Oryctolagus cuniculus: one gene and its partner. The protein of the gene in region 2 purifies or fractionates together with the protein of the main gene of each other region. This does not show direct contact. Links are inferred from orthologs where the notes say so. Each region holds a gene or a part of one and is shown on either strand. Other genes may lie near its edges.

Region 1 (4,119 bases), on a different chromosome or scaffold from region 2:
CTGCGTAGGATTTCATTCACTTTAAAGACGAGCGTTTTCCATCTCTCCCCTGGACTGTCTGCTACGAGCCCATCCCAGGGCTCCGGTGCACCCGAAAGACCCTCGCAGGCTCCCCGCCCGAGGCCCTCCCCCACTCCCACCATTGTGCTCGCCCCAGGCCGGCGAGAGGCGCAGGGCTCGCCCCGCCGAAGGCGCGCACCGAGGCGGCAGGGAGCGGCTCGGGCCATTTTGCAAGTGAGGCTGCCACCCAGGACTGGCGCGGGGCGGTCTTCCCCCGCACGGCTCCCAAGTTCTCCAACTGAAATCGTCTCCATAAAAGTGCCAACCCGCCTCGCCGCCCCGAGATCGCGGTGGGGGGGGGGGGTCTCCCGCAGGCCGCCCCTCCCCCACCGGCGGCCGGGCCCGCCCCCGGCCTCATTTATCCCGGAGCCTTTTCCGAGCCGCGCAGCCAATGGCAATCGCGAAGCCGAGAGCCACCGCGAGCGCAGGCGGAGGAGGTGTCGCGCAGACGCCCGCCCCGGACGCCGCGCCCCTCCCCCGCCGGCTCCGGGGGCGCGGGGCTCGGCCCCCCGCCCCTCGCCGCGTCCGGTCCCCGCCGCCGGGGGGCGGGGCGGGGTGGGGACAGGCCCCGGCCCGCACCTCCGGCGTCTTCCAGGCAGCCAGGCGAGTTGGGGACGGTGACTCTCGGCCTTGGTCGTTCATCACCTATTTGCAAAAAAAAAAAAAAAAAAAAAAAGGAAAAAAATCGAATAATTAAAAACTGCGGTTCCGAGAGCCGGGGAACTGCCCAGCAAGCAACCCCAACCCCTGCACCCTGGAAAATAAAATCAATGCCCCGGCCTCCCCCCACCCCTCGCTCCCGCCCCGCCGGCCCCCGGGCAAACTCGGCGGCGCCCCCCGTCCCCCGCCACCCCGGCCGCGCCCCTCCCCCACGCCGCCCCGCCCCCACCCCACCCCCACCCCCACCCCCACCCCCACCGCCTCTCGCTCTCTGCCTCCTCTCCTCCGAAACCCACTCTAATTGAGGCGCCGGGATTCCTCACGTGAGACGTTGATTTGTAGCTTGAACACGTGGCTCATTCAAAAAGCCGGGCCCTCGCCGTGGATTCCTGCGCCCGCCCGCGCCCCTCCCGCGTGCCCGCCGCGCTGCGGGGGCCTGGTGGGGCGGCGCTGCGCCGGGCCCCGCGCCGGGCGCTATTTTCGCCGCGCGGCGGGGCCGGGCCGGGCCGGGGGTGGGGGGGGCGCCAAGTAGTTTCCTCCCCCGCCCCTCCCCCCGCGCGGGCTGGTCCCGCCTCCGCCTCTGCCTCCTCCTCCTCCTCCTCCTCCTCGGAGTTGGGAAGACTCGTGGATGCGCCCGGGCTGGGGCTGGGCTTTCTCTCTCCTCGCTCTCGGTTGCAGCGCCCGGGAAGGGGCACCCCGCGCCCCCCGGACCCGGGCTCGGCGCGCGCGGACCTGCGGGACCTGGCCCTCGCCGCTGCCGTGTTTTTCATTTTTTCGTCCCCCCACCCCACCCCGCGCTGTGTTCCTGTTTCCGAGCCGCCCCCTTTCGCGATGAACAAACTGTACATCGGGAACCTGGGCGAGGACGCGGCGCCCGCGGACCTCGAAAGTATCTTCAAGGACGCCCAGATCCCGGTGTCGGGGCCCTTCCTGGTGAAGGCGGGCTACGCCTTCGTGGACTGCCCGGACGACGGCTGGGCCCTCAAGGCCATCGAGGCGCTCTCAGGTGGGCCCCGGCCTGGCCGCCGCGCCCGGAGGCGCCACGGGACCCCAGGCCGGGCACTCAGCGCGCGGCGCGGGGGTCCAAGGGCCCGGGCCGGACGCGCTGTCAAGAAAGCCCCGCGCGGGCACGGAGGGGCGCGGGGCCGCGGCGGGCGCGCGCTCCAGGCCCCGCCACGCCGGGCCCGGGCCGGGCGCGGGCGCCTGCTCGCCCTGCTGCTCCCTGCGGGCTAACCTCTGCTCGCTAACTCGTGGCCTGGACCCGGCTGCCTCTCGGCCTAAGGGAGCGCACGGTATCCCGGACACGGGCTGCCTAGGGAGGCCGCGGGGCTGGTGCCTTGCACGGGCGGTCCCGCGCCGCCCCGGCTCCACCTCGCCCCGTCCGACGCGCGCCGGGGGCAGGTGGGCTCGGGCGGCGGCGGCCTCCGGGACTGGCGGGGCGCGCGCGCTGGTCCGGGGCGCGCGGGGCGACGAGGCCTGGGGCGGCAAGGTTGCGCTGGTTCCCTCCGAGAGCCCTGAGTCTTAGGGCTTCTCCTCCTACCGACTCAGCCTGGCTGTGGGCGCTCGGCTCGCCCTGTGCTCGGCCGCACGTCCGGCCGGCCCCGGCTCCGGCGCCAACGGTTCCCGGAGGGCCTGGGCTGGGACCAGAGAACAGGACTGGGCGCCCTCTCCCCCGAGTCGGCCCTGTGGGGGAGGGTCCTGGAGAGGCCGGAGAGACCCGGTGCCTGGCTGCCACCCGAGGGGCCCCCACTTCCCGAGGGGCCCGCTGCCCACCAGCGTAGCGGCGGCGCCGAGGCCTCGGGGCGGCCGGTGGCGCCGCCCAGGGTGTGTGGGGCTCGGGGCTCCGGCGACCCGACAGTCTCATGTCTCGTGTGTCCGCAGGTAAAACGGAACTGCACGGGAAGCCCATCGAAGTTGAGCACTCGGTCCCAAAACGGCAGAGGTGAGCGTCTTTATTCTTTTCTCGCCCCATTGTTGGGAGCCCAGACTCCACCGAGCGCAAACCCTTTCCCCGCACCCCGCCCCGGGCTCTTGGCCATTGTGCTGGCGAGGAAGGGGGTCTCTCGGAGGACGCTCTGGGCATAGCAGGTCTAGGTGGTGCCGCAGGGCGCGGGAGGCTGCGGCCGGCCCAGGTGCGGTGGGCCTGCCCGGGAGCCGGGGCGCGAGGCCGGAGCTCGCCCCTACCCTGCTGGCGCGCCGGCCGCGCTTGGGTCCCGTCCCGAAGCCTGGGCTTCCCGGCCCAGCGGAGCCTCTCTCGGCCCCTCCAGACTCACACAGGTCTTTGCCGACCGTGCCTTTGTCTCCCTCTGCGCCCCCACGCCCCCTGCCCCCTTTTTCCTGGGTCTCTCTTTGCTTTCAGCTGAGCCCCAGGGTGGTGAGACGGGGAGGTGGGTGCTAGCTCTGCAGGAGGATTTCTCCGAGAACGTGCGTAGCGTGCCTTTTTTGGGGCAGCGTTGTGCAGACTCCTCGAGCCTCTGAAGTGTTTTCCAGACCAGGCCGGATCGGGCTCTGTAATCCTGTGTGTGGCGCTGGGTTCTTGCAGGGTGGCCCTGGGGCTCCTGCTTCCCACCGCCCCACTCCTTGCCGGGGCCTGACAAGGAGCTCCAGGCTGCCGCGCCCCGGGGCCTGCGTACGTGCGGCCTGGCGTCGGGGAGAGCGAGCTGGGGGCCGCACGGTTCGCTGTGCGGACGCGCGCCGGCGTCCGGCCGCCCCTGCTTCTACAACCAGCTGCCTTCCGGGTAAAGCGTTTGCAAACTGAGTCTCGTTTCTAGGAATGAGTCGGCTTGGTTTTACGTGGAGGTCTCTGGTTTTAGGCGCTGAATTTTCGTTAGGATACGTAGGAAAGGGAGTAACCGATTAGATTTAGTTGTAGTTGGGAATTATGTTTAATTACATGAAATTATTTTTAAAAACCTGTAAAATAATAGAATTTGTACTGAAAAGTCTCAGTTGATGTTAATTGAACGGGACTTGAAGAAAGGAGAAGTCTTATCCCTCTAAAAAGAAATGTATACGTCTAGCATGTGAATTGTGAACCTAAATACACACACACACACACACCTCTACACCTGCAAATTCTAAATGATTTCAGAGTTTAAGCACTGTCTTAGTTTTCATCAAATGTTGAATTAAAAGTAAGAAAATGGTAATGCTTTAAGGACTGGCATTTTAACAGTGGAGAGTTTTAAATGTAAATACTTAGTGTCTTGTTTTCAGGTAGATTGGATTAACCTACATGCAAATATATGATGGCTTCACCCTCTTGCTTTTTGTTTCCAACTGTTGTGAATTTCTTCTCACTTGTAGGGGATTGAGAAACATCTTCTGGTAACAACTGCTTGTTTTAAAGGTTTTTTTTTTTGCCTAGCCCTGAACATGCTTGTTACTTTGTAATGGGCG
Region 2 (4,225 bases):
AAAGATAACATTCTGGATGGGCTCATTCTTTTGCCTCCCCTCCCCAGGCTGCCTCCAGTTGAGAAATACTGCCTTATAGAACCGGCCATACATTCTTTCACTCACTCCAGTTTCTCCTTTGTCATGTTGTAAAAAGAATCTTTTCTCACAAGAAAGCTGAGCTTTAAAGAGCCTAGGCCTCAAGCCATAGAACCTGCCACATTCCGTTCCCACTGTCACAAGACAGACACTCACACGTCGGCAGGATCTTGAGTATCACCACCAGGTCAGCCACATTGTGTCCTGTAGTCATTGTTCCCTTTTTGTAAGATCCTACCTGCCGGACTTCTTCAATTTGCTGTTGGGAAAGAGATTTCAGGAAAAAAAATTTCAGATGCCTCGATGCTCTCAGAACTCTGTGATAGGTAACAGCTTCCTATTACTCAGACTTGGAAGTAGCAAAGGTAAAATCCTACCCCAAGAAACCACATGAAAGCCTGGCCCGTCATGGCCGGCTGGTATCAACACAAACCGTATCCCCAGGATCAGTATTAACAAAGAAAGGAATCCCACTGTACTGTCCAGGTTCAGGCAACTGAAAAACTAAGAGACAGGAGCCAAGGAAATCTGCACATCACCAAGGCCGCCCTTTCCTGGGGCTGTCATCAGAAACTCACCACTTCAAATGTCCCCGGAGCCACAATCAAATTGTCAATCACATTGTTTATTTTTGTCACCAGAGAAAGGATAGAAGCCTGAAAAACAGTAAAATCCCAAAATGAAAAGTTGTAAGCAATTGCTCTGAGTTTGGATATTTTCTCCTGATCCCTTCTGTGGAAGCTGCCAGCCATCAACAGAAGGTTCTAAAAACAACTCAGTGCTTCTGGTCTTGAACTTGCCACAGACAGATTCCCCAGTGAAAATACAAATGTCTATGCCATGTGTTTAAGACGCTCACCTCGCTCCCCATCTCCAACCACAGTGAGACAAGAATGCAAGCTTTGGTGGGCCTCAGGCTCAGGGAACCTATTCTTACTCTCCACTTCCCTTCTGTGGAGAAAGCTCAGAAAGGGAGCCACGAGCACACACCTGTTCGGCAGAATTGGGAGCAAGGTCCTGATTCCTCTTCAGCAAAGCTTCACTGAAGGAAGTCTCATCAGGGGCCGGCTTGACCCGGGGGAAAGCCATTTCACACTAAATCACCAACAAACAAGTATAAACCATTGACCACCAACAACATACAGGAGAGACTGGTTTTATTCCTCTATTAGTGCAACAGAAAAACTTGAACACAGAAAATTCTGCAACACTTGCGGTGCAGTGGGTTAAGCTGCCACTGGCTTCTGATAACAGAGTCCCGGCTGCTCCACTTCCAATCCAGCTGCCTGCTAATGATCTTGGGAACGCAGTGGATGATGTCCCAAGTTCCTGGGCCCTTGTCACCCATGTGAGAGACCAGGATGCAATTCCTGGCTCTTGGCTCCAGCCTGACCCAGCCCTGGCTATCGTGGCCATTTGATGAATGAAACAGTGGATGCAAGATATTTATTTCTCTGACACTGTGCTTTTCAAATAAATAAATCTTTTGAAAAAACCTTCCAACAAGGACCCAGAAGAACAGCCATAATTTATGTTCTTACTACCTTTATATTAACAAATAAGCCAGAGATGCAATGAGTTGTTCAAAGATTATAATCAGGTTATTGCCAAGTATGCTAACACACAACCCCAAGGCCGTTCCCAAATCCCTTCTCCTACTGCGACCACCATGTCAGGGGGCTGTTGGCCTCCACCACTTCTCCATCTGCTGGTGACCAGGGGTCAGGACCCGTTCACCAACCCAAAGCACTTACCAAATAGAAATCAAATGGGATATGCGGCACAAAGGGCCTGAACCTGCAACAAGACAAACAGCTCAAATTATTCAGCACACAGCAATCAAGCAAGATGTACACGATGCACCAGCAATTTGGAAAACACAGACGCACAGCTTGCGGAGGGCCGAGTGGGCTTCTGAGCAAGGCCCGCAGCAGAAGCAGGGTGTGACCCCGCAGCCGGCTCGCACAAAAACACCCTCAGACCCCGCCAACCTCCTCTTAGGTGCCCCAAACTAGCAAGGAAAACTGGCACTCACCCTCCGCCCGGGCCGCCTCTGGAGCCGAAGCGCCCACCGCGACCACGGCCTCTGTCACCCCTGGAAATGCACAGACGTTACTGCCTGGGAGCCGCCGCGGCCCGGCCTCGCTTCCCGCCGGCCGCCCGCCGCCGCCCCCTCCCACCCCGCGTCCCGAATGGCGCCCGGCCCCCCACTGCTCGTGACCTCCTGCTGCCGGACGACTTATCCGCCAGGTAACAGCGTCGCGCAGCGCCCCTGCGAGAAAGACCCTATAACCCGGGGGCACGCCAGCCCCCAAAGCCGGCGCTCAGCGCCCCGGCCGGGCACATGCCGGGCGTCACACGCGGGCCGTCAGGACCAGCGCCGCACGCGGGGAAGCTCCCCCGGCGGCCTGAGCACGACGCCCTCGCGGAGGCGGGCGCCCGCCGCCTCCCCGCCCCGGCCCCAGCCCACGCCGGGCCCGCGCTCCCACCTCCACCCGCCGGGCTCCCCGCGCTGCCGGCCCCGGAGTTCGCGGGGTTCCGGCCGGCCGCAGAGGCGCGGCCCTGCCCGGTCCTCCGACTCCTCTCGACCCACCTTCCCAACATTCTCGGTCGGATACCCACAATCTTTCCAGCACCTCGGTCCCCCTACCTCATGGCGCCCTTAACACCGAACAATGGAGGCCGCACCAACCGCCCCTTTCCTCAGAGAAGCAGACAACTGGAAAGGCGTCTGGCCGGCGTGTCCCAACAAAACGCGCTGCGATTGGCTCCCGCCTTGCTCTGTCGCTTATGCTTATTGGTTTGCTTTGGAGAACCGGGCTTATGGACCAATAAAAAACGGCTATCGTGCCAGGAACCGGCCAATAAGAACAGGCGTGACAGTAATTACAAATTTTTTGAGCCAACACTAGGTGGCGCTGGATAGACTTTAAAAACGACGAACAAGTGAATTGCCTTTTATAATAGCGGGAAGGTTGGTGTCCAGTAGCAGAGTGGCGCAGCGGAAGCGTGCTGGGCCCATAACCCAGAGGTCGATGGATCGAAACCATCCTCTGCTAAGGGCTTTGTTTTTCGCTTCTCAGTTCCACATGCTGCTACAGTACTCCCTCCTTTAAAACCATCTCGCCAATCTTTGCTGCTTTTGAAACGCATCTTCTGCCTCTACCGCCATCGTGTAAAAGGTACCTTCCCTAGAAGGGAAGGAGTGTATGGACTGTGGTGGAGAAACAAGCTTTGAGGTGTTAGAAGGAAAATTGACAAAGTCTTGGAATGACAAATCAGAGAAGGAGAGTCAAGAAAGTGGCGGGTCCCGTCTTCTCCTGTTCCTGTTTTTTGCTCCTGCAAATCCTGGCATGATCCCGCCTCACCCTCACCGGCCACACGGACACACGGTATTTGCATTTCCTTAACGTTTGTTCCTCCTCGGCGTCCCCTCTCACTCACTGGGGGGGGGGGGGGGGGGGGGCCTGCAGCCCCTTGTGGTGGTCCCCAGAAAAGTGAGGCCCGAACTGGAAACAACCTAGAGGTATTTACACGTGTCTCGGCGAGTTGGCCGTACTGAATTCATGGAGAGTGGATGACAAATTGGTCTATGTGTACACAACGGAGTGCTACGAAAATCTAACAAGAGCAGATCGCTGACGAGTGCAAAAACATGGAGGAACCCGGACCGTGTCAAGCGAAAGAAGCCAGACGAAAAGAGAATACATACGATGCACCCTGATCAGAGGAACCAGAGCGGCTGCTTTCCCGGCCAGGGCAAAGCAGAGTGAAGGAACTTGCAGTGAGCGAGAGGGGACATTAACAACATTAACCAACGCTGAGGCGTGGAAAGGTTACAAAAAGCCCAAGTGATGGCATCGATTTAAATGCAAATACTGTGCATCTGGCAAGTGAAGCTGTGAGGCGGGATCATCCCAGGATTGGTAGGATCCCTCCTTTGGATCTTCCATCAGGCCCTGAGCACCATTCCCACGCCCTAAAAGGAGGACCCAAGCCTGGGTGTGTGCTATCCTTTCATCCTTGGATAAATCCTGCTTCTCTGCTCACCTCTGTCTCCTTCTCCCAGTTGTATCCTCACACATGGGAAGACAGGAACCTGGGCTATGTGGCTGGGGGTCTCACGGGGCCCGGCCTGGGGTCTCGG

The links. The genes of interacting proteins can lie anywhere in the genome.
Region 1: the proteins of ILF2 (region 2) and IGF2BP3 purify together in Homo sapiens (affinity purification with mass spectrometry; 3 studies listed by BioGRID and IntAct, counting the BioPlex papers as one, with this or other methods). This does not show direct contact. The link is inferred for Oryctolagus cuniculus from reciprocal best matches to the Homo sapiens genes ILF2 and IGF2BP3.

What each region holds. Positions count from the first base shown.
Region 1 is NC_091447.1:15,444,523-15,448,641, reverse strand, and holds the start of IGF2BP3 (insulin-like growth factor 2 mRNA-binding protein 3), read left to right. Parts: upstream 1-1,319; 5' UTR 1,320-1,551; coding exon 1,552-1,726; intron 1,727-1,950; exon of another isoform or gene 1,951-2,121; intron 2,122-2,601; coding exon 2,602-2,662; intron 2,663-4,119. UniProt on the Homo sapiens protein: RNA-binding factor that may recruit target transcripts to cytoplasmic protein-RNA complexes (mRNPs). This transcript 'caging' into mRNPs allows mRNA transport and transient storage.
Region 2 is NC_091438.1:44,650,797-44,655,021, reverse strand, and holds the start of ILF2 (interleukin enhancer-binding factor 2), read right to left. Parts: upstream 2,801-4,225; 5' UTR 2,734-2,800; coding exon 2,729-2,733; exon of another isoform or gene 2,683-2,728; coding exon of another isoform or gene 2,672-2,682; intron 2,351-2,671; coding exon 2,300-2,350; intron 2,174-2,299; coding exon 2,114-2,173; intron 1,876-2,113; coding exon 1,833-1,875; intron 1,174-1,832; coding exon 1,069-1,173; intron 735-1,068; coding exon 657-734; intron 338-656; coding exon 235-337; intron 1-234. UniProt on the Homo sapiens protein: Chromatin-interacting protein that forms a stable heterodimer with interleukin enhancer-binding factor 3/ILF3 and plays a role in several biological processes including transcription, innate immunity or cell growth.